Linked DNA regions of Tribolium castaneum. The protein of the gene in region 1 interacts with the protein of each later gene in a biochemical or structural test. Links are inferred from orthologs where the notes say so. Each region holds a gene or a part of one and is shown on either strand. Other genes may lie near its edges.

Region 1 (12,830 bases):
ACAAGTAAAAATTTTTAATTCTGATACCACCGCTCGATGGGCTAGCAGGTAAGGATTCATTTGATCTAAAAACTTTGTAGTTAAATTAACAGTTAATGTCCAAAAACTCGCAAAACTGCTACGACTTTATTTATTAACAAAAAAATTTAATGAAAATCGAGAATTGTCCAATCAGTGGTATCAATGTATAGAGTGGTGTGTAAAATTTTAGGATTTTTATTTCATTAGAAGTCGCGATTTTCTTGAGTGCGCGATAAGGTTACCACACCCAGTATGTCTACCCAAGTGTAAAGGAAGCTTTTAAAAACAATTCCAACTCTCTAGGAATTTTTTCCCCCGATTTGTCTAATTTGACTAGGCTATAGATACTTAACTATGTCATAAAATTTAAAAAAATTTCATCAAACTACTATAGTTTGGTTAAAAAATAATGTTAATTTTTAATAATTTTTTCGTATTCCAAAATAATAAGGACATCAAACTGAATTAAAAGTTCCTATGACAAAAAAATTGTTTGAGCCTTTTTTCTGCAAATATGAATTTTTAAGTTATGTTAGTGCTTCAGAAAATATTTTTTGTCTTTAGTTCTACGACAGCTCAGATTCTGTGTTCTTTTTTTATTTGCGAAATTTCGTCAAATATATATAAGTCAAACCAAACTGAGTCTAAAAGGGAGTTAATTTGCGTTTCTCGGAATGTTTATGCCGAGGTTTATATGCAGTTTTTTTACTCAGACATTTAATTTTTTCGTGAAATATGTCAACAATTTCCCTAGTTCCAGGGTCTTACTACACTTTTTATCTAGTGACAAAAGTTTCTAATTATTTGGAGGAATTTTATCAAAATAAACAACCATGAATTAGTTTGAAAATGGTGCTTTTTGTTTATTTAAAGGCTGCTGCATTACTCTAAGAAAACAATTATTTCTCTTTTTCTAAACTGAAAATTGCTTTTAGGTATCGTATTTTATGGATTCGAAAATAAATTGCGTTTAAGTTTGTTAGTCTGTAGTTTATTTTAACTTCTTTCTTTCTACCAAATGTTGATTTTGTCTCCTTTTTCTAAAGCGTATGTTTCTCTCGACTTATCTTTAGTCCAGGTCTGCCATCGAGTAAAATTATTAATTACAGCATATTTTAATGCTTATAGCAACAGTTATAGCTGTGGTTACAGAAATTTAATTAAGGTACATATTAAATGCCCAATATTTTATTTAAATGACAAGTATTTTTGTTCAGCAAAAATGATACATACCCAGTAAAAATAATAAATGTGCAGTAAATAATAGTATTTCAAAACTGGAGAGTCTATATTCCCACATTTCGAGTTCTACGCTTTCGAGTTTAATCGTTTGAGGGGTATGTTTCCTTTTAGTTTGCTTGGGCAAAGCCCCAGCCTGCAGGCTACCAACTGTACGTCGCTGTAGCTCCATAAAAATTATGATTCCACGACGTGTTCGAGAGGTGTCATCTATTAGTTCGCTGGGGCCCCAGGCTAGCTACTGAGCGTTTATTTAAACTGTGCAAACTAAAATTATATGCTTGGTTTTTAACTGTGCAAAATATTATATTATACCGATCACTGTTTTTTACTGTGCAAAAATTAATTAAATATTGAGCATTTATTATTTTTTACTGATTAAAATCGGATTTATTACTGATCGCTTTATTTTTACGTTTCTACCTATTTAATTATAATTGGTGCAACAAAGCGCCAAAATTTAAACTGAAATTGCCTTGGGCTTTACGGTGCGCGTGCGCAAACCCGACCTAACCTAAAATATTTTCTGTTGTGCTTCAACAATTCAAAATGCATAGAATGTGGAACCGGGCTTTTTTTGCACTCGGTGCAACTGTTCTTCCAATGATTTTGAATTACTTAATCAAACGAAGACATAAATTTAAACTGAAAAAGTTACGAGATGAAAAGTGGGACCAGGACAGTAGCTATTACCACTGTATTTTTTTCACGATGAAAAACGTGATGTGTTCAAGTCATTTTAATACACATACAGCATGTGAAGATAATTGTTCAGTCACACATTTAAATACGCTGTTACGGTTCCTAGGATCAGCAAAATACTCCATATCTTTGTGCATGTATATGGTCACATTGAAGCAAGTTACTGACGAGCTAATTAAAGCCGAAGATCGCGGTGTGAAAGTTAGAATAATCACAGACCACGTTATGTACAAAATGGAACGTTCTAAAACTAAATTGCTGAAAGAACGATACGGTAATTCGAAATTTTTCAAATATTTTTCCGGAAAAATAATCAAAATTGTAGGTTTTGAGGTTCGGACGCCCCCTTATCAAGACTCCTTGATGCATCACAAATACTGCCTTGTCGATGCTGAGGATCCAAACTTGCAGAAAATGTTCCTAGGATCACTGAATTTAACAGTTCAAGGGTGTCTCAAAAACTTTGAATTCGTATGCATCACAAATAATTCAACGATGATTAAAAGGTATAATGAAGAGTTTGAATCACTTTGGACCACGTTCGAAAACTCAGACATTTTTCTTTAGAGATGTTTATTCAAAATAAAATTAACAAATACATTATTTTTTTAAACCGTTGATCTCTGGTGTGCATTACGAGTTTAGTAATGAAATTAAATTCCAACAATGCTAAATATTAGCACCCTTATTCTTCTAAATCTAAGTCGTTTAGTTCTTCATCTAAAGCTTCTAAATCCTCCTCAAGGAACAAATTTTCATTGATGGGTACTGCAGATGCACCTTCTTCACCATTTTCTGTTACTTTTGAGCTTGTCTTCAGCCGGTCTTCAGAGGCCACAGTTCCAGTCCCGTCAACCTAAAATAATTAAAAAGTGAAATTATTGGACGCTAAACAAAAACGTAATCAAGAGTTCTGTGGAAATTTCAAAATGTCAAATGTGTATATTTTTCAAAACGCTGCGAAAACGGTTACAGATGCAAGAAAAATGTTAGGAAGAAAGTCGTGGAGAATTATTGGAATAGTATATTATACGAGTTTTATAAGACGTTCTATTAAAGCTCGAATGGTTTTGGAGCACGACGAAGGAGTGCTCCATTAGAATGAGTGCCACAATTAAGTCTTATAAAACGAGTGTAATATACTATTTTTTCTACTTTTTATTTTTGTTTAGTTTAACTTATCAAAATCTGTTCAAACTATTTCCCCTTAATTTTGTTAATTAATTCGGGCTTTATCAATAAACGACTTGTCGCTGTTGACAGATTACACACTAAATTAAGTGATGACTGATGACACCCAGCCCAGCACTGCCAATACAACTCCTACAAAGTTACTAAAAGGAGTTGCATAAAAGTTCTTTTTGTGAAACAAAAAAATTTTACAATGAACAATTTGTGAAACCAAAGTGGAAAAAATCATTTGTTATCTAAACCGTTGAAAATATTATTTAGAAATATAGTGTCGCGGACTTTTTTGTAGAAAATTCAATTCTCTACAACTTTGTTCCTTATACTTTTTTGTATCTTCAACCGTATTCAAATTGATAGTTCAAAGTGGTAATTCTTTGCGCACTGTCGCATATTTATCAAAACGCGTTTTTATAGTTTTGAAACAGTTAATACACGTTTATAAAATCTACAGAGCACGCTTGACTCAGGACAGTTTATTTTTCAACTTACCTCTTCGGCACTAATTAGATCTAAATTGATTTCTTTATAATCCGCTTCATCATCTTCGGTGTCTGAATAATTGTAAGAATCAAACGCTTCATCGCCTTCATCCATGTTATTCTGCGCCGCCAATTCAGGATTAAAACTAAACATTTCTCTACCACTAAGTCCGACTTGTTTGCCTGCCTTAAAGTCGGTTCGTTTTTTGTCTTCATCCCGTTTTGCGGCGTCTTTTTTTTCCTAAATTCAAATAAATGTGTTAGAATTGTTTTAGCACCTCCGTAAATAAAACAAACCTGAATTTTACGTTTTTTCCACGCTAAAAATGTCTCTAACGTGACTTTAGTTTGAGTAGAACCTAGTGCTGCTCTTTCCTTTTCAATTAGATCTTCCAGTGATATTTCATCACGTTTGTCGTCTTTTTTCTTATCTTTCTTTAACGTGAAACCTGGTGGGAGAGCGTGTCTGTAAATACAGCTTTCTCCAGAGGGACATTGCCAGAACCAGCCATACTTTGATTTTTCTACAGCTTCCAAGAAATGTTTACAAATCTGAAATTAGACAATTACACACTTTAAAAACAGTCGTGATCGCAATAGAATTTGATCAACAATAAAAATAAAATATTTTTGAAACAGTTTCCTTGGAAATAATTCTCACTATTGACACATCTAGAAATTGTGATTTTTTATAATTTTGTTTTGTTGGAAACATTTTAAGCCTTCTTTTTAATATCTAAATCCTAGATTATAAACACCATTTTAAAACGTGTTTTCATTATTTTAAAACAGGTTTCCCATAGCAACGTGTTTTAAATTTAAATGTTCCAACAAAAAAATCTTAATAACACTTATGCGAAAACGCTTAAAGTTCTCGGGTGTCTAGGTATGTAACTCGCATACGCTCGTTGCATAACGACAGCCCTCGAACTTTAAGTTTGTGTTTTCGCACTCGTATTATTATTAATAATTATTTTAATTAAAAAAGCTGTTAAAGACTGACAATTTTAAATTAAAATAATTATTCATCATCGTGTTAGGGAACGATTATTTAATGTGAAAGATAAAGACATTAAAAAATAATGAAAACTGAAGTTAACAAAATGAGTTTAAAGCTGTAGATTTTTGATATGACATTGGAATTTTTTCAAAATTTTTTCCCCAACCTACACTTGAGCATCCTGTAGTTTGTCCATTATCCAAATAGGCTTTTGCTAAAATATTTTGAAAAAAAAACTGTCAGTAAATTACATATTTTTTTTTAATGGCCACATATTTTTCAAACTTAAAAAGCAATCTTTTTTTCGATATTTTTTGGCAAAAATACACTTAATACAGGTAACCAACATTTAAAAAAAAAATAAACGTACCTATGTTTTTTGCGAAAAGGTATATGTTATAAACAATTTTATAAAAAAATAAACATTAACTTTAGTCTCTGCCAACAGTACTAAAGACAATCCAATTTATTTTTCGAAATTTTCGACATTATGTGGTTATATTATAATCAACGTATATTCCCTGATATGTACTTCCGAAACTGTTCGTTTCGTCAATTATGTTTAGTTGGTTTAGTATCGTCTAAGAATAAACAAAATATATACAAATATGTAATAATCTCTTTGGAACATTTAACGCATAAATTTGAATGAAAATAAGTTTTTTACAATTCTCTTATACAAAAATACACATAATCGTAAATTGGGTTAAAAACTATTGCAACCAATAGATTTTCATTAGAGTAATATTTCGTTCCACCTAACTGACGTTTAAAAAGCGCTTCAATTTACCCTCAAAAAATTAAAAACGTTTTAGGAATTTTTAAGATTTACATGCAAAAAATCACATTTTGCTTTTAATAGTCTGTGAAATAAAATAAAAAGTAATGAAACCCCGCTCCGGCTCTAGGTATAGAGTTTTATAATAAGAAAATCATAATTAACAAAGTATGAGTACAAGGTAATGTTGTGAGCTTGAAAAGTGTCAATGAGTTTTACTTTCAAAGCTATGTCTTTTCAGGAATAAATTAACTAGTAGTTTTCGGAATTTTCTCTATTACGTTAATTTCACAATTAAGCATCAAAACTTTAAAACTACTCTGCCTAGGCACCACAAACAGTGTAAGAAATTTTATAATTTAAGAAAACTTCGTCTGAGTCAGTGGCGCCCCCAATGGTAAATTTATTTCGAATGTTTCAATTTATGTCGGTATAGTAAATTTCTTTACACATTAGGTAACCATCTACATAAATAAAAACATTGCCGAGAATATTTTTTTCGTAAAAAACTGGTTGTAAAAATATTTAACGCAAAACAATTGTTCAAAATTTCAACTTCAACAGTTAACTGACGTAATTATGCCAATGAAATTTGTAGAGGACTCTACCACGTTTTTTTTAGACTTACAAAATCTACAGGTGATTATGAAAGACTGTGTTTCTTGTCGTCAAGTTGGTTACAAACTTGAAATCATATGTTGACAACATTAACTATCAAAATTATCAGGAATACCAATAACTCAATGTTACCAATACATTTTTGACACACCCGGTACAATTTGTAACTAAACCTTACAATGTCAGTAGTGGGCATTTTCCCCGTCTTTCCATGTTTCTTCTCTATCACTTCAAACAGCTTTTGCTCATCCCAGTTTTCCATAGTTTCTTCTTCATCATCTCTCATATCCACATACAGCGACCTTTTCTCCGCCTTCCGCTCTATACTCAAATCATGGGAAAATTTGCACTTATCACCTTTGCCGCACTGGCCCTGTTTGAAGAACGAACAAACCACAGACTTGGGATCAGTCCCTGTAAAAACTTGGTAAAAATGGAGCAATAAAAAGTGAACAAACAACCTTTCTCGACTTTCTGCGTTTGCACGGTCTTAAATAAAATAGCCATTTCCTTCTGTTCCTTCAACTTCTTCTCCTTTTCCGCTTTCTTCCCCCCATCTTCTTTAACAGGATGGTGACCCCCAGTTTTAACTTGTTTCTCGACTTGCTGTATGAATTTCTGCTGCTTGGCCCCTTTTTTATTTTTCAAACCGAAAGTCTTGTCCTAATAATTAGTTGAAAATTTGCACATTAGAATTAAATATAGAGATAAATAAAAAATCATTACATATGTACCTCAATCACTTTTTCTTTCTTTTTCTGTTCAGTTTTCTTACTGGGTGCTGCCGGTTTGGCCTTCGGTGGCATTTTTTACAGTTCTAATTGAGAGAATTAAATAATCTTGATAATTTTTTCAAAGAAAACGAAAAATATTTCGCTTTCGGAAGTTCCACATGCACAGTGACAGGTCGGGGATTTGACAGACAATTTTGACGGAAAAATAATTCACGGCTCCAACCTGACAAAAAAGTGTAGAAAAAATCGATTTACCAATAAAATTTTACATTGGTACGAGATGCCTTAAACAGTTACAGTCTTTTTGGAAAAATAGCAAAAAAGTCAATTTTTCTTGTATTTATTTTTTACAAGCGATTTTCCACTCTTTGGTTGGTTTTGTGCGGTTGGCTGCCTTTGTTTATAAATTGAATTGATCGAAGTAAAATGGCCGTTGATTTTGCGTTTGTGATCATATGTCAAACAAATCAAAAATAGTGTTGAATTAAGAAGTGTTGCATTTATTTTAATCATTTGTATGCATAACCAATGTTTAGGCTTCAATTCAACTGTAATCAATGAAGTGAAACTCTGAGGTAAAAAATGATTGTACAGGAACCAGTGCAGGTAATGTAGTTAACCTCTTCCAAATATCGAAATTATCTAAGGCCCATTTTTTGGTTTCAGGCTGCCATTTGGCATTGTTTGAATCATTATGACTACACTGATGCTGTATTCTTGTCAGAGCGATTATATGCTGAAGGTAGATACGCCTTTGCTTGCAAAAAACTGTTTTTTATAAAATCGCTTGATTTCAGTCAAATCTGATGATAGTCTGTACCTCTTGGCCACAGCTTATTACAGAAGCGGCCAAAAAGACCACGCATACCACATTTTGAAGGAAAGGACAGATGCTTCAACACAGTGCAGATATTTGCTTGGGATTTGTGCTTATGATCTTGAAAAGTAAGTTTGATAATGCCTCATAATTACATAAGTTGCACAAATGAAAACTGGCATTGAAGTTGGAATTTCTCTAATAAGAATGACTTTGGCAATTGGAATTGGGCCGCTGATAATACAAAGAGGTCATAAATCAATATAAAAATACAAGTCTTGTTTACTAACATTGTAAGAACACTAAGTCTAGTTCAGGGTTAATAGAAAGTGGAACACAATTGGTTGCTACCTTTTTAATTGTATTGAGTCTTAAGTCACAAGAGAATAATATTTGGTAATAGATGGTGGTCTAAATTATGTACATTAAAGTTAATTGTTTAAAAATATTTCAACTTTGTTAACACTTTTATGAACGCGAGAATTTATTTATTGAAAATTCAACACCACTATTTTTATTAGGTTTATTTTGTTTTTTATTATCAACATATTTCTATTGCAATTTTCGTAAAAATCTGTACTACTTAAGTGTTAACTGCGCTATAGTCGATTTTTTTTTAATTAAGGTTGGTGTAATTTTTTACCTGACAAATTCAATTTCCAAATTTTTCAAGTTGTCTCCAATTTAAAACACGTACAACAACACATTTACTTATTTTAGACCACCTTTACACTAACGAATTAACGCTAACGTCCAATTTTCAAAAATGTCAAATCTGGTGTTCAAAATGTGAAATACAGAATATAGCCAGTTTTAAAAGTGGTTGGACATGAACTTTTAGGATCATATAGTCTGGTCTTTATCAGAATTTTGACACTGACAGTTGATTATAAAACAGTGAACTATACTTATAATTAATTTTATAAAGGAAACAACATATATTACTAAATAGCAACATAATAATAAAGCACTTAACACAAATTCAACGGGATGAAATAATTGCAAACAATTTATTACAGTAAATAAAGGGCCCAAAATTCAAATAAGTTGTTTTACAAGAAGCATAAAAAACTGCATAAAACTCATTCAAAACTTTTATTCTTATATCTTCACATAAGGTGCTACTGATCTAACGAATGTTTAGATATGGTAGTGGAATGAGTTATAGAATTTTAAACATACTTTTTCCAACAAATGAATTTTTCCAAGTTAACTAGCTGGACCCTTTGGACTTCAATTGTTATTATTTTCAGTTTTCTATTATGAAAATACATATTATGATTGTTTGGTTTCCGATAATGCGTATACAGCTGTAATATGACTCCTTTTTAAAAGCTTTATTTAACTTGCTTTGCTGTCTGTTCTATATTTCCTATAAAAAGCTTTGGGAGAGGTCAATTAAACAAAGCAAAAATTCGGTAATGCCGTAGTGTTATGAGTTACGACTATGACACTCCTAAAGCTTTTATAATTTTTAGAATCTAATCTGTTACTAAAAATATATTCTCCTGTGATAACTAAACATCATTTATTACTTTTTAGTGCTTCTTTTAAGTAAATGCTCTTTTTAAAAACGTTTTTTAAATTATACAGAGTGTCTCAAAATTGGTGAATTCCGAAGATTCGGAGCTTCCCCACAAAGATACATTGGTTTAAAGATTAATCTTTGAACTGCGATTTCTTCAAATCCAAGCTAAAAGTTTCAGTGTTTATTCTTATTTATTAATCATTTAAAACAATTTCTCAAAAAATATTTTCCACAATCATCTGGATCATAAACAACAATCAACACTGAAATTTTTAGCCTGCATTTAAAGAAAACGCAAAATAAAGTGCACCTGAAGTGTTTCTTCCAACCAATGTAACTTTGTGGGAAGCCTCGAATTTTTATTTTGTTTCTACATTTAAACTACTGTGATTCTCTACAACACTCTGATCTCGGAATTCGCCAATTTTGAGACACCCCGTATATTTTTTGAATATAGTAGTTGTAAAAATCACTTGTAATTCGGATCTGTTAATAGTATTTCAGAAAAAGTAAGATGTAATTCATATTTTACTTTTTTCAGTTGTAAGTAGGTTTTTAAGAAAAGTTCAAGTGAAATTCAGTGTACCAATTTTAAAACGAAGCTTTTACGTAAGCTAAACTAAGAAATGCACTGATAATTAAGAACATAGCTTTGATGTTTTGTATTTTAAATTTTAAACCCAAAATATTTAAAATTTTATTTCTGAATTACAATTAACGTTTCCTTAAATACAGTTTACTATATCCCATTTCAGTTCATAGTAGAATTGCAACAGTGCATTTGAATTTTTTGGTGTGAAAAATAAAGCACAAATTGAGAGATTCTGTATAAGAAAAGAATTCTGTGTTAAAATAAATCCCAGTGACACGTTTTGATCTAAGAAAACCCACCAGAAACTCTAAATTTTGCTCCATTTGACTCCAAAAAAAATGTAAATGCGTTGTTGTAAAATTGTACTGTGAACGAAAATGGGATATAATCTGAATTATAACTGCCTTTTTCAGAAATATACTTGACTCTTTCTGAAACATAGTTGAAAAAGGTGTATAGAAAGCTGAATAAAATTTTAATTCTTTGTTAATAGTTAGTGCACTAGAAAACGTAAGCTGTATTTTGGATGTCCGAATAGGCGATCTCCAAAACTAAGAGGTTTAGAGAAAAACGAGTGAAACATTCCGTTTTTTGAGAGAATAATTTTGGTCAAAACCGCATCCCGCTATCGTCTTTTGTTGTCGACTTATAAAAAGAAGTGGACATTTTAGCGAAATCTTAAAAAATCATATCTTCCTTATTATAAAAGATACACATTTGAAACAAAAACATTATACAGGCATTTTTTTTCAGAGAATTTAATAATGTTATCAGCGATTTTTTTAATCATTCGTTCAGCTGTAATAACATAGTTGTATTTTTTTAAATGAGAATCATAGTTGGCTATGACATTTTCGAAAAGCTAATTTTTTTCTGAACTCAAAACAATATAAATATAGTTTGATATTTTTATATATTTTTGATAAAAATATATTTAAAATATTTGAAAGTAGTCGGCCATGGAAAAATTATTTCACATAAAAGGTATGAATAATCTAGAAATTTTGTGAACGTTTATTAAAGTAAAAAATGTGATTATAAAAATAAGCTGTGTTAAAGTTATTTTCATTTAAACAAATATACGAGCGTCGCGGATTTTAATTACATAAGAAATGTGCAGAAAATTTCAAACAATGTATCACTACCATTTGATGCCACTTTTTTATGATTTAGTAAAGTGCAAAGGAGGTGACGTTAATAATGTTGTGTATTTTTTTTACCGCAGATGGAATTTGATTTTGGTGTTTGGATTGATATTTTTTTGTAAAATAAAATTTTATTGATAAGCAATCATACAATTAATAAGATTTTTCTTCTTCCGACATTTCATGTTTACAATAGGAAAATAGAATGACAACGTAAGCTTGCCATTTTAAATATAAAAACAAATAATTTTTATTAATTGCAAAAATTTGATCTAATAAAAATTTATTGTGCTGTTTTTGAATTAATTAGTGTTTAAAAAAATCATTAAATTATAAATACTTGTTGGGTAATACAATTTTCATAGTTTTAATTAAAAATCCAAAATTTTTTCATGGCCTACTATAAAGAAAAAGCGAAATGTTTTGTTTTTTCTTAAATATTTAAAATTAATGTATTACACAAATAGACATATCAGATCAGAAAAAAATTAGCTTTTCGAAAATATCATAAAAACTTTATGTTATTACAGTTAAACGAATAGTTGAAAAAAATTGCTGATAACATTATTAGATTCTCTGAAAAAAAATGTCTTTGTTTTAAATGTGTATCTTTTATATTAAGGAAGATATGATTTTTTTTTATAAACATAAGTGTTTAAAAGTCGAAAACAAAAAAAGATAGCGAAATTATTTTCTCAAAAAACTGACTCGAAAATATGTCACTGGTTTTTCTCTATACCTCTTAGGAGATCCCGTATTCGAACATCCAACATGCAGCACCCTGTACAACATACAGCGGGTAATTTTTAACTGGAATAAAATTCATAACTTTGATTTAGGCGATTTTGGTGAAATTCCCGAACAGATCAATTTTTATTTTTTCTTGCCCACTATTTGATGCATATGGTTTTTGTTATCTGTTGTCAGAAATGCACAGCCGCCTCTAACCTTTTTTTTCAAATGTAACGGTATGTCAACTGACACCTCGTATGAAAGCTCTTCTCGCAAGCATTACAACGCACTATTTGTTTTTTGAATTTTTTCAAAGCCTACGTGATAAAAAAAATAAGAACCAATTTTTATAAGTTGAACATTATTTGATTTGATTGTTCAAAATGGGCACCGTTCCTCTCTTGGGAAATAACATGACGATAGTAGCATGAATTTCTAACATTTCTAGTGTGATTTTCCTAATTTTAATTTATAAAAATTGATTTTCATTTTTTATCGCGCAGGCCTTGAAAATATTCAGAAAACAAAGAGTGGGTTGTATTCCTTGCAAAGTGCTCTTTCACATGAGGTGACACTTGACATAACCGTTACATTTGAAAAAAAAAGTGTTAGAGGTGGCTGGGCATTTTTGAAAACAGATAAACAAAAACCGCACCAAATGATGTGCAAAGAAAATCAAAAATCGACCTGTGTCAGGATTTTTTTACAAAAATCGCTTGTATCCAAGTTACAAATTTTATTTTAGTCAATATTTCCACACTACTTTAATTTTTTATCACTTGGGCATTGACAATATTTAGAAAGCAAATAATGCGTTGTACTGCTTTCGAAGTGCTCTTTTACATGAGGTGTCACACGACATACCGTTACATTTGAGAAAAAAAGTTGGAGGTGGCTGTGAGGTTTTGACAGCAGATAAATAAAAACCATATCGACTAAATGATGGGCAAGAAAAAACAAAAAGCACCTGTTTCTGAAATTTTTACAAAAATTGCCTATATCCTAGTTATGAATTTTATTTCAGTTAAAAATTCCACACTGTATAAACTGTGGTAAATTAACGACAATTTTTATATATGTTTTTTACAAAACAACAATAATTACATACTGTTTATTTCAGAATGTCATTAGAAATAATAATAAAAAAATTACCTAAATAATATTTGTATTGAAGTATTATTTAATTGTACACTCTTATTTCTGAGATTATTTATGTAACCAACTAATAGGTTATATCTTATATCAAATTCACCG
Region 2 (12,858 bases), on another chromosome or scaffold:
CAATTTTGTGTTTTTGGCAACGATTTTTCTAGAGTTGCCTAAATCGGCAAAAAATGAAGAACGCCTCCGTACGCATCCTTACCGAAGACCATTTCCCATTACATTACCTCCTGAATCCTCCCCCCATTGTGCTTTTCGACCCATACATCCGTTAAATGACGGTGTCAGAAAAGGTAAGTGGACAAGTCGCAAAAATCAACAAATTTGCACGTTGTTTAATGCATTTGTTTTACTGTTAGTCACCCAAGATAAGATTAAAATCAACCAAAAATGTTGCGCAAATTATTGTACACATATGTACTTTGATAAATTGTAGTAAATTACCACTTGAGAACGCCTATTTTGATTCATAGTTTGCCAAACCCACGTGAACAGCGGGTGCAAATTTATTTTTTTGGGATTATTCTCGAATTCAAGACAACATAAATAAGAAAATATATAGTGTCCCTAAAAAGTCTGGATACAGTTACGAGTAAATATTTTCAGGACGGTTCCACAGACAGTGTTTAATTTTCTATCGTCATTTGTTTTGAAAATACAAGGGTAACTTGATTTTTTTAATGGCAAGAAGGGTCAGTGATGTAACATATGGTCACCTTTATTTTTATTAAAAGGTAAAAAAATAAATATTCAAAAATTTAATTCTGTTAACTTTTTAATATTTTTTTTTTTGTTTTCTAATTTACGTCTAAACTATTCTAAAAAGTGGAACTATTTTGATTCATGCCTATGCAAAATGATCCGGGGAATCGATTGGCATCGAGAAAATTGCCAAATTCCCAATAGTTTTTTAGTTATGAATTTTTTAAAATTTTCCCAATTTTTGCATTTATCAGCAATTTGCTCGAAAACTATTAGTCGGAGAACAATAATTTTTTTAATTTAAAGAGCTTTCCAACGATAATACACTTTATGGGGTTATCTCTAATAGTTCCGGAGCTATTGCTCGAGAAATGTTCCGGGTACCCAAAATCGACAAAATTTGCGAGGAAAATTGAAAAATCAAACATCAAAAAATCGAACATATGGACTTTTTGTGGACTTTTAACAACATTTGTGGGTTGTTAAGACATGTAGAAGTCCATAAAAATTTACTGGAGTGAGTTTAAAAAAAATTTTTTTCACCTCTTTGAAGGTGAAATTTTAGCAAAAAATTGAAAATTTTAAATCTCGTGAAAAGTTGGTATAATACAGAAAATGAGCCGCTGAATTCAATGGAACAAACCGCATTGCTCTACGACTTTTAGTTTTCGAGTTATGAATTTTTTTAATGAATAAAATTTGTCACTATGACAAATGGCAACCCTAAATTTAGGCAAAAATTTTTAAATTTTTAATTCTTGTGAAAAATTGATATATTATGTAAAATGAGCCGTAGAATTCAACCGAACAAACCGCATTGCTCTACGACTTTTAGTTTTTTTTTTATGAATTTTTTTAGTGAAAAACTTTGATCGCCTCTGTAGCCGGAACCGTTGCCCGGAGCGGCTCCGGGTTTGGTCGAAAAAATAGCTAAAATTAAGCGCTATCAGATATTTTTTTGTTTGTTGCTCTAAGTCTTACAGTTTCCGAGAAAAACGCAAAAAAGGTTTCCATTTTCACTTTTTTTCAATTTTCAACCGCCAATTACGGCGAAACTATTAGAGTTATCGAGAAACGGAAAAATGGAGGACAACCGGAATAAAAAACTCTACAAAATGGCATAGGACTCAAGGCTATATCTCGCAAAAAATTTTTCAATTTTCAAACGCCGATTACGGCCAAACTAAAAGAGTTAGGAAAAAACGCTTTTTTAGATCGGAAAGAGCACATCAAAATCTATAAGATAGAATCGGTTTTATTTGATTTAGAGACACTTTAAAAATTGACCGATTTTAAGGGGGGGGTGTTAACTTTTTTTTATTTTTTTTATTTTCTTTCTTTATTTGACAAATGGCTACCCTAAATTTAGGCAAAAATTTTTAAATTTGTAATTCTTGTGAAAAATTTATATATTATGTAAAATGAGCCGTAGAATTCAACCGAACAAACCGCATTGCTCTACGACTTTTAGTTTTCGAGTAATGAATTTTTTTGTTGAATAAATATTTGACCACCGGCAAAATGAAGGAAATCCGACACTTGAGCGTCTTTGAATGTCTTTGGGGCCTAAATGGTTGAAGATAAGGATATGGTCTCGGGGACTTTATTAAAGGAAATTTAATTCTCTACAACTTTCCTCTGAACATTTTTCTTGTATCTGTAACTGTATTCGCAGCGTTTTGAAAAATATGGGGCAGAGTGCAAATTGGTAAAACTTTGAAATTTTTTTAAATATAGTTTAAGTCATGATTTTTACACTATTTTTATCTCCGATTATTGAGAATTTGATGCTCTATCTGCGTGTATTTTTTTATTCGCCTTGTGCTAACCGTTATTTAATTACAATTTTTATAATTTATTGCTCTAAAATAGAATCAAGTCAGCCTTGGAGGCAGAAATTTGATAAACATCTGAAACGACGGAATTCATATAATAAAATTTCCCTAGCCTACTATTGGGTGGACACTTTCACAAACGGGGGAGTCCCCTCGACAGCTTTGTGGGGCGGTGAAGACATCGACGGCCACCAAATTTACGTGGGCAGAGCCTACTTCAAAAACGACTGGATTCCGGCAAAAGTGATTCCGGGCCGAAGAAAGGCTTATGTGGCTTACAACGGCAAGGAATACACCGTGGACCGTTTTCAAGTATTTAAGTTGGCGACATTGTCAATTTAAATTAATTTTTTGATAGGTTTTATGCGAGCAACGTTTCGATTGGGTGAAAACCACCGAAGACAAAATCCCCGAAGGGGCAGTTGAAGGTGGGAGAACCGTCGATGGGGAACCCCTGTATATTGGCAGAGTGGAACATGAGGGCTCGCATACTGTCGGTAAAGTAGGTGTCTATTTTTGTTTACTTGGAGCAAAAATAAATATTTGGGTTTTTAGGTGCACCCCAGTTACAAATGTTGTTTGATTCCGTTTGATGGGAAAGAGTTGAGATTTACGGAGTACGAGATTTTGATACTGCGGCCTTAATTGTGTGTTTGCACCTCGTATTATTTGTTTTATAAGTAAATAAAAACCTTCTAGACTTCAAGAGTTTGTTGTTCTTTTAGCTCTAACAAATCTCGTGATATTTATTAATGATAAGATAATGAGATTTATTAGCGTTCTGCGAACTGGTAACAGTTTAACACAATGGAAGGTGAGTACCGTTTTTCTGATTTTCCTTGTTTTCGGAAAATGGGTTGTAGGAGGCTATGGTTTTAGACCGGAATTTTCCCTTTCCGCACCCTTTAATTACCCTCAATATCCCCCGAATCAAAATTTTTACCCTCAATCTCAAAATACCAGTTTTCATAATCAAGGTAAGGACCAGTTTGGGGGGTTTACCGGACTTTATTACCAAGACGGAGCAATAAATATAACACTTACTATGAAATTCACTTCCAGCGTTTCGTTGGGTTGACAGTTCCATCGCCTATGGGTCAGTGCCACCGACGGCCCTCCAAGGGGGCATGGATGGGGATGGGCATCCCATTTACGTTGGTAGAGCCTACCATGAAGGTGACTTGATCCCTGCCAAAGTGATTCCCGGCAAAAACGCCGCCTATGTCTCTCACAACGGACAGGAACACCTCGTTGAAAATTTCCAAGTAATATACTGGGTGTTTCTATTTGATATTTATCCCCTTGTAACTTTTTTTTAAAGTAAAACAAGCATTTTTATCCGCAAAAGTGACAAATATTGTGACTAAATGTCACAGGCAACAGTTCTATTTTTCGGCCATTATATGCATATGCATATTCTTGAGATTTTTTTTTCGAACATATGGACTTTTTTTGGACTTTTAACAACTCCAGAGGGATGTAAAGGCATAGAAAAGTCCATAAAACTATGCTAGAATGGGTTTGTAAAAAAAATATTTTTTTCACGTTTTTGGAAGAAAGTGTATTATTATTACTCAGAAAATTTTAGCAAAAATTCTCATTCACGGCTAAACTATTCCAGAAAGTGGAACTATTTTGTTCCATACCTATACAAAATGATCCGGGGAATCGATTGGCATCGAGAAAATTGCCAAATTCCCAATAGTTTTTTAGTTATGAATTTTTTAAAATTTTACTAATTTTTGCATTTATCTCCAATTTGCTCGAAAACTATTAGTCGGAGAACAATAATTTTTTTTGAAAAAAATAGATAATATAAAGAGCTTTCCAACGATAATACACTTCGTAGGGTTATCTCTAAAAGTTCCGGAGCTATTGCTTGACAAAAGTTCCGGGTACCGAAAATCGACAAAATTTGCGACGAAAATTGAAAAAATCAAACATCAAAAAATCGAACATATGGACTTTTTGTGGACTTTTAACAACTTTTGTGGGTTGTTAAGACATGTAAAAGTCCATAAAAATTTACTGGAGTGAGTTTAAAAAAAATTTTTTTTCACCACTTTGAAGGTAATTTTAGCAAAAAAATTGAAAATTTTAGATCTCGTGAAAAGTTGGTATAATACAGAAAATGAGCCGCTGAATTCAATGGAACAAACCGCATTGCTCCTCGACTTTTAGTTTTCGAGTTATGAATTTTTTAATAAATAACCCGGCGCATCCACCAATTTTAAAATTAAAATATATATTTTTTTAAATTTCTCGAGTAAGCTAGTGTTGTGAAAAGGCTAGTATTCTAAGCAATTTAAGCAGCAGAATTCACTGCAACAAACGGTTTTGCTCTACGACTTTTAGTTTTCGAGTTATAAATTTTTTGGTTGAATAAAATTTTCCACTATAAGAAACAACTATCTTAATTTTTAGCAAAAAATTTTAAAACTTTAGATCTCGTTAAACGTTGGTATAATTCAGAAAATGAGCCGCTGAGTTCATTGGAACAAACCGTTTTGCTCTACGACATTTAGTTTTTGAGCTATGAATTTTTTTTGTTGAATATGGGAAAATAAAGCCCTTTTATATTTTGTTTTATAATCTCGTTATTTAATTTTTTGTATCTGTACAAAAACTAAAAGAAAACAATTTTTCTTCCACCTTGCAAGGTTAATTAATAAGGAAAACGAATTTATTTATTTTTTAAAATTTTCAGGTTTTATGTAAACAATACTTCGAGTGGGTACAATCGCACGCCGGCCACTTGCCACCAGGGGCGGTCCAAGGGGGGCACACCAGCGAAGGGGAGCCCCTTTACATAGGCCGCGCCTACCACGAAGGCTCCCAAACAATTGGCAAAGTACTTAACTCACCCTTATAAATTTTAACCCTTGATCATTTATTTTCCAGATACACCCCAGCCATGGTGTCTGCTACATAGCATACGGCGGCGAAGAAATCGCTTGTCCCGAATACGAAACTTTAGTCCTTAGAATGTAAATAAAGTCATTCTTGTACCCCACTATTGTTCATCTCCGCATCTTCCTCCTCCTCTTCCTCCCCCTCCATTTCATACAAGCGCACCTTCCTCCGATTTTCCGCCAATACGATACCGACACGTCGACTCCCCGACACTGCAAACTCCGCCCCCACCATCCCCTCCACACACTTAAACAGCTTCGGAACCAAACACGAACCGTTCAAACTAACCACGTTAACCGCACCACTAAAAACACGATCTGTCTCCCCCCCATCCACAAACTTGTCCAAAACGCCACCTATCGGTATCTGACTTAAAACTGTAGCTTTAGAAACGGTGTTTTCTTGCAATAAAACCGACAATACTGCACTCGAATATAGTTTAATATCGATCACGTGATAATTATCCTCGGAATTGTCACGGGGGAAGTACAGACGCGCACACTTTATGAAACAATTGCCATCGTCTAGATACACCTGCAGGCCTAGAACGGTCTCAGGCGGCTGCAAGTAACAAAAAAGAATCGATTCTTTGTTTAAGTTGACTTGGGACGTCCGTAACGAATCGCCGCAAAATTGGAAACAATTGAAGTCATTCAAATGACTGAACTGCCTACTAATTTGCTCTCTAGGTGTCGCGAAAATCGCATCGACGCTTTGCTTCAAATGCTTGTACTGTTGTATCAGCGACATCTCTTTGAAGTGCCTCAAAATGGAACTATTTTTTTCGATGCATTGGTTCTGGGCCAAAAAATCAGTCCATTCGTTCCCGGACATGTCTGGTTGGATCGTCAAATTGCCATCGCTTAAATATTGCCCCAACCGCTCCATAATGAACCCCTTTTGTTTGTTATTCCGACTGATGTGGTCAAAGTTTTGCAAAAATTCGGTGATGTAAGCCAGGTCTTGCTGAGTCATTTTGGGGATTTCGTTCGGTATTGGCTCATCCAGAACGTGCATTATTGCCGTGTAGAGCCAGCGGAAGAAGGCCTTGTAATTGATGATGGAGTGATTGATGATTTGCTGCATTTCGCTGCCTTTGATCAAGAAGGCGCCGTTCGAGGAAATGGCGCCGGTAATGGCGGCCGCGTCCAAACCCAAAACCTACAATCACCCAATCACCATTTTTTACACTAATAACTTCTTTTCAATTGAAACGCGTCCTAAACGTGGGAGCGAAAAGCCGAAAAAGGCGTTTTAAAGCCGTCAGGGGTTTCCCCGAATATTTTGGACTTTTTTCACGTAGTATTTGCTCGATTTTAAACTAAATATTTATTTATTTTGCCAGATAGTATTTTGTTCGTTTAAAAAATCAGACACTATATTCGTTTCAAAGCAAACCTGATTGATATTTGTTTGTTTCACTCAATGTAGCTTGTTGCGTAAAATTTCGTCTAAAATACGCCTGTTTTTTAACTATTTCTCAGACTTTGAAATTATCGAACTAAATGTGATTTTTCCATTTTTGTGCATTTTTGATGGTTTTTCTTGCCAAGTTCACACAAAATTAAATTTTAATTTTTTTGTTGAGTTGGCAGCCACCACACACTTGTACCAACCTTATAGCGGTGTTCCAGTCTTGCCATCCCCCTCATTTCGGCCAAGTGATAGGTAACATTCTGCCCAAACTTCATCACATACTTCAGCATCAACTTCTGAATGTTGGAATAACTCATCTCAATCGTCTGCCCGAACTTCTCCAACCCTTTCTTCGTTAAATCGTGTATGAGAAAGGTCTTCATCTCATCCGAGCAAATTCCAAACGTCAGCAAATCCAAAAAATCAGCCGTGACGCCCCCTTCTGGCACCTTGCTCGCATATTTCGACAACTTGTTGTCCATCTCCAGCAAAATGCTCTCCCAGGACTCGGTGATGGTGGTAATAGTGTTGGAGAGATAGGTCACCAGTGAGGTCAATTTTATGTGTTTGAGGGCCAAAGCGAACAGTTCGTTTGTGTGCGTTTTGAAAATTTCCGAATCGAAACAAATCAATTTAACGTTGTTTTCGTTGTCTCGCACTGTGAAAAACATGCGGTTCAGGTCCTCGTTCAAATGCATGTTCTGGATGGAGCAAAGACAGTTGAGAGTTTGCTTCAAGTCAAGGGAAGCGCACGGGAAACAACCGAAAACTCGCACGTGCACGGTGCCCTCACTTGTCCCAATCAGGAGCAAATTAAAGTCGGTTTGCTCTTGCAAAATGTTGGTTTTCTGACCATCGTCGTTGTTGGGGGAATCGAACTGTTGTAGCACCGGTTCGGGCAAAAAATTACCCGATAAGTCCTACAACTGGGAAATTAAACGAGCACTAACATTCGGGTTTTTTTACAATGTGTTTCATGTACTGATTCTGTTTACTGTCTTCGTCAACTGAAGGCAGTTTCCCTTTAACAGTCCGGTCTTGCAACCAATTGAGACATGAAACTTCGCCCTTGATGTCAATAGTGTGCAACACCGACTTATTCTCGACCTTCACAAGCAGTATTTGGCCTGAAATTGCACAAAACAATGGATTTAAATTATTTCCAATACTTTTTTTACAATATTTTACCAGAACTGTACGCAATTGCTATGATTTTGCCGTCAGGCCTCCAGGCAATACTTGTGACCTTTAACCCATCCTTGGGGGCACTGAGACTCCACGCTTTGGTCCAAGTGAGTCGATGAAGAGCCACCTCTCCTACAAAGACACCCAAAAATGCCGGTTACTGCAAATGGGGGTTACCTTTGATATTGGCAAGAGCGACAAGGTCCATACGGTCGCTCCACACCATTTGAACAATCTCACTGGCCACATTGCGCTCTTCGAGCTGTTTAATCGCCTGAACTGTGCTCATTTTCCAACAATTAGTAACAAAAAACAATTTTCAAATTGTAAGGTTACGTTTAATTCTGTCATGGGTACCAACTGTGCGTCTGGACCCGATTTGCTTTATTTAGCCAAATGTGCACAAACAGGCCTAGTCAGGCGTTACGATTCACTTTAGGGTTGTAACCACAATAGATAAACCAACATTTTTGTTATTGTTGGCTTTAAAATGCATAATTTTGTACTTTTTTAAAAGGTAGAGGGTTGGTAACGCTGACCGTTTGTTGAAATTGGTGTCCCAGGTGTCTTGATTACTTCGTTCCAAGTTGGAATTAAACAATCACCATGGATAATTTAGAAGCAAATATCATGGACAAGTCAATGCGTTCGGTCTTTGGTACAAATTATTTAAATTTTAAGTGATAATTATAACCCCATTGCTTCCAGTGGGCAACATCCCCTACGAAGCCACCGAAGAGAAGCTCAAAGACATTTTCGGCGAAGTAGGCCAGGTCCTGTCATTCAAGTACGTTGCCCTGCCCCCTGAAGCCCCCTAACGCCTGAATTTTAGGTTGGTTTTCGACCGCGAGACAGGCAAGCCCAAAGGCTACGGCTTCTGCGAGTACCGCGACCAGGAGACGGCGCTCAGCGCCATGCGCAACCTCAACGGGTACGAGATCGGGGGGCGCAACCTCCGGGTCGACAACGCCTGTACCGAGAAATCGCGCATGGAGATGCAAAACTTGCTGAACCAGCCCCCGGTCGAGAACCCCTACGGCGAGCCGATTCAGGCCGAGAAGGCCCCCGAGGCCATCAGCAAAGCCGTGGCCTCGTTGCCCCCCGAGCAGATGTTCGAGTTGATGAAGCAGATGAAGCTCTGCATTCAGAACAACCCCACTGAGGCCAGGCAGATGCTGCTGCAGAACCCCCAGTTGGCGTACGCTCTGCTGCAGGCGCAGGTGGTTATGAGGATTATTGACCCGCATACGGCGGCTGTGAGTTGGGGGTTTGGGGGCGTATTTATATTTTATTGGGGGGTTTTAGACAATGTTGCATCCGCAAAATCCCGTTCCTTCGTCTTTGACGCCCAAGGAAAAGACTAATCCAGGCCCCATTCCGATTAACAGTAATTATGTCTCGAATCCCACGCCTGTGCAGCCCCCAAGACAGGACTTTCAGCCGGTGCCAGCCCCCGCGATTCATAATAATTCCAATCCGGTCTTCACAGGTGATTTTTTTTATCACAATTGATTATAAATAATAATAATGTTTGCGTTATTGCAGGTCAAGACGTTGATCTAAGATCACTGGACCCCCGAGGGGCTGATCCTCGCCTCAGCCGCCTGGGCGACCAGGACATGCGCACTTTGCCCGGACAACTCCCCAACCCCCTTCCGCCGCCACTTGTCGAAAAGTAAGTAAAATAATTCAACCTTGAGCCCTTTTACTCAAATTTAAACAGTTTCACTAAGCAGGATCAGAAATTGGAAAGGTAAATAACCATTTACAATTGATTAGAAATACAATTTACTGATACTTTTTCTTAGCTTTAATAGGGACCCACGTGGAGGTCCGGCCAACTTCCCATCTGATCCGAGACAACAACAGCGAGCTGACCCAAGACAGAAAAATATGCGTATGTGTGAAGTACGTAATTGAATTGGTTGTTGAAAGTCTGATTTTAGCCCCTCAGCAAAACGCGATGCCTCCGCAGCCGGTCAGAGCCCCGCAGGGGCCCCCCAGTACCCCCCAAGTTCGCCAAGCTGCCAATGTTGCTTCAAGTATAGGTACAGCTGGGGCCTCAGACCAGGAAAAGGCGGCCCTGATTATGCAAGTCCTGCAATTGTCAGATGAGCAGATTGCAATGCTGCCACCTGAACAGCGTAATAGTATTCTAGTTTTGAAGGAACAAATCGCCAAAAGTGCACACCGTTGATTAATTAAGTCATTTCCCCAAATCAGTTTAATTTTTACAGTTTACATGATAATTAAAAAATCTTTAAAATTATTAACATAAACACTATTTACAGTATTGTGTATATATCATTTAAAAATCAACAACAAAAACGCACCCTCTAGAAAGTACAAAATAAATGAGCGATTCCTTCGGTTGTTTACGATTAAATTGTAAACAAGAGGTGGATTTATTCGTTTGCAACTTTCAGTTACAAATCTGGTTGTAATGGTTTTGTTAAAAAATTAGCTAGTTCGGCACGTTGGTACTTCTTGAATGGACGATCCGTCTAAAGCGCTTCCTTCGATCTGGTAACCCATGCTCGCCAACATTGATTCGAATGGGTCCATTGACATGCGATGCTGATTTGTTTCGACTACAGTGGAGATGCATTTGACGATTCGGTTGTTCACTTTGCCGTCCTAAATAAACGACAACGGAAACTCCAACATTAATAAAATTAATAGAAAAAAGTTACTATATTTCGGAGAAAAATTTCCGATCAAGTGACTAAGTTATCCGTTTTCGAAAAATCATACTAGCCTTTTTTTTGGAACCTTTATCGAATTAAAAAAAAGCCGTAATGTAGAGTGGCCAACTTAATTTCAAAGTGAGACCAGCAATTGTGCTTACCTCAGGCCGAGGCGACCATATTTTAACGGCCGTATCAATCCCGCTGGACGCTATAACACAGGCACTAGGGTGTGGTTGAATGCAATTAACTATCGAGTTATCTCCAAAGAGAGCCCTAACCACATTCATACTCTTCTTATCCCAGATAAAAATGATCCCTTCGTCCGATCCTGCACAAATATAATTATCACAATCACCTGAAAGCCGCCGTGAAAAAACCAACACTCTACAACCACCACAAACAACCTAAAAAATTCGCCTCCTTGATATCAGTCGTGGTATTACAATGCCCTATGTAAATCTTCTCAAAATCGAACGAATCCAAACGTAACTTTTTCTCATCATCTTCCACCTTCTTCACTCCCGTCTCCTCAAACTTGACGCTGTTTTTGAGCGCTTGCAACTCCTCAACGAGGAATTTCACCTGCGAGGAGGTTTCACATTCGGGGTAAAGTTTTGTAAAGTGTTTCAACCAAGCGTTGGCTTCGTCTTCCCACTTCATGGCAATTAGGCATTTGATTAATCCAATGTAAGCCTGTTTATGGTCCGGCCAATGCTGAATCACGTGTAAATAATCACGTGCTGCCGCATACAAATCGCCCATCCTAACAAGAAAAAAAAAATTAACAAGCCTTTTTTTTTGGCTATTTGTCTCAATACCACTTGCGTTGGTACGCCTGTAGCGCCCGCCTCATGTAAAAGCAGGCACAGTCCGTGTTTTTCTCAAACAAGTCGGCGCTGACCCCGTTAAGTTCAGCCAACAGTACGTTCTAAAAAAAATTGCATTTTCCTAGTAGTGACTGGGGGGATAATTACCGGTTGGCAACAATTCCGGTAGGGTTGATGGGGCCGTTTAGGTAAGTTTTGGGGGATTTTGAGTTCGTTAATGTGTCGGCTATTATTTACATCAAATAAATAAATCTGTTCACCCCCGATATTTACCAACATTTCTGAACCGGCGGAATTGAACGCGATATAAGTGACTGATAGTTTGATGCTCATAATGCCGGCATTTTCGCGTGCCAGGTGCCCGGGGGCGTAGTATTGCACACAGTCGCTGTTTTGGGGCTGCGGGGACGTCCTCTTCGACGGATTAAACGACAAATTCGCCTGAAAACCCAAAAAATGCAAGTTTTTCCCCAACATTTTACCTATTTTACCATTGATACTTTGATCATCCTCCTGTCATACAAGCGCACGAAGCAGTCGTTGGCGCCTATTGCGATATAGTGCGATTTTGTGGGATTCACAGCAATGCATTTGATTTCCGATTTGAAGCTTAGGTCGACTAAGACCTTGCTTTGCGTGGGACACTCGTGGGGTTCCCGCAAGTCGTATTGCCTGCAAGTGAGTTAAGGTGTTTGGTTGGGCAAAACAGTTGCCTTACACAACTAGGCCATCTTCGCCCGCTGACCAGAACAGAGTAGGCTGGTCGGGGGCCGTGGCCAGGCGTTTGACCCGGCCGATGTGGCACGCGCAGTCCAGCAAGGGGGCGCTCTTGTCGAGGGCCCCCGACACGCTCTGGACCACCACTCGGCAATCCCCGGCCGCCGTCGCGATGACATTTTCGTCGGCTAAAAACTGCAAAAACGCTCAGATTCGGTGCCAAAATGATCGGGTTGTTTACTTTAACGGAAAAGATATTGCCAATGTGTGGGGTCGGGATCACGTTTATTTGCTTGTGTCTGAAGGGGTCCCAGAGGATGACGTTGGTGTCGTCGGAGCCGGACGCCAGGTGCCTGCGAGTGAACGGTCAGTTGCTGCAAGGGGCTAAAGGCACTTACAGTCCGTTGGGGCTCCATTCCAGGCAGTTGACGCAGCCCTGGTGCCCCTCAAGCTCCGCCTCGAGTCCTAACCTCTGGATGAAATTGGCGCTGAATTGGGTGCGCTGTTTGAGGACTTTTGCTGCGGTGCTGTTCAGTTCCCGGCATTGCATCAACTTTAACACGTTACGGTTGCTTTTCCATCCTTTTATTTTGTTTTCCATCTGATTGAAGAGTCGCTATCAGGATCAATGTTTGCTGCAAGGTCAACAGGACTCACCTTTGCTTTAGCAAATCGGGCATCATAAATACAAAT

Evidence for each region.
Region 2: the proteins of Cdc27 (region 1) and APC4 form a complex in vitro, tested with the Homo sapiens proteins (2 studies listed by BioGRID). The link is inferred for Tribolium castaneum from reciprocal best matches to the Homo sapiens genes CDC27 and ANAPC4.

The regions. Positions count from the first base shown.
Region 1 is NC_087394.1:14,531,867-14,544,696, reverse strand, and holds the start of Cdc27 (cell division cycle protein 27 homolog), read left to right. Parts: upstream 1-7,163; 5' UTR 7,164-7,344; coding exon 7,345-7,368; intron 7,369-7,428; coding exon 7,429-7,504; intron 7,505-7,559; coding exon 7,560-7,707; intron 7,708-12,830. Other genes in the region: mitochondrial cardiolipin hydrolase, read left to right, coding at 1,810-2,236, 2,288-2,529; zinc finger CCCH domain-containing protein 15 homolog, read right to left, coding at 2,648-2,818, 3,643-3,873, 3,930-4,184, 6,207-6,442, 6,490-6,691, 6,763-6,834. UniProt on the Homo sapiens protein: Component of the anaphase promoting complex/cyclosome (APC/C), a cell cycle-regulated E3 ubiquitin ligase that controls progression through mitosis and the G1 phase of the cell cycle.
Region 2 is NC_087400.1:318,738-331,595, reverse strand, and holds APC4 (anaphase-promoting complex subunit 4), read right to left. Parts: upstream 8,327-12,858; 5' UTR 8,221-8,326; coding exon 8,109-8,220; intron 8,064-8,108; coding exon 7,935-8,063; intron 7,874-7,934; coding exon 7,713-7,873; intron 7,667-7,712; coding exon 6,947-7,666; intron 6,492-6,946; coding exon 5,415-6,491; 3' UTR 5,409-5,414; coding exon of another isoform or gene 5,319-5,408; 3' UTR 5,269-5,318; coding exon of another isoform or gene 5,125-5,268; 3' UTR 5,058-5,124; downstream 1-5,057. Other genes in the region: uncharacterized protein LOC659212, read left to right, coding at 33-173, 2,530-2,729, 2,776-2,919, 2,973-3,055, 3,212-3,231, 3,281-3,394, 3,480-3,682, 5,125-5,268 and 1 more; CstF64 (cleavage stimulation factor subunit 2 tau variant), read left to right, coding at 8,538-8,589, 8,640-8,718, 8,764-9,187, 9,237-9,420, 9,477-9,606, 9,655-9,684, 9,740-9,828, 9,878-10,128; WD and tetratricopeptide repeats protein 1, read right to left, coding at 10,392-10,568, 10,780-10,976, 11,026-11,384, 11,440-11,549, 11,596-11,889, 11,940-12,120, 12,167-12,360, 12,407-12,518 and 1 more. UniProt on the Homo sapiens protein: Component of the anaphase promoting complex/cyclosome (APC/C), a cell cycle-regulated E3 ubiquitin ligase that controls progression through mitosis and the G1 phase of the cell cycle.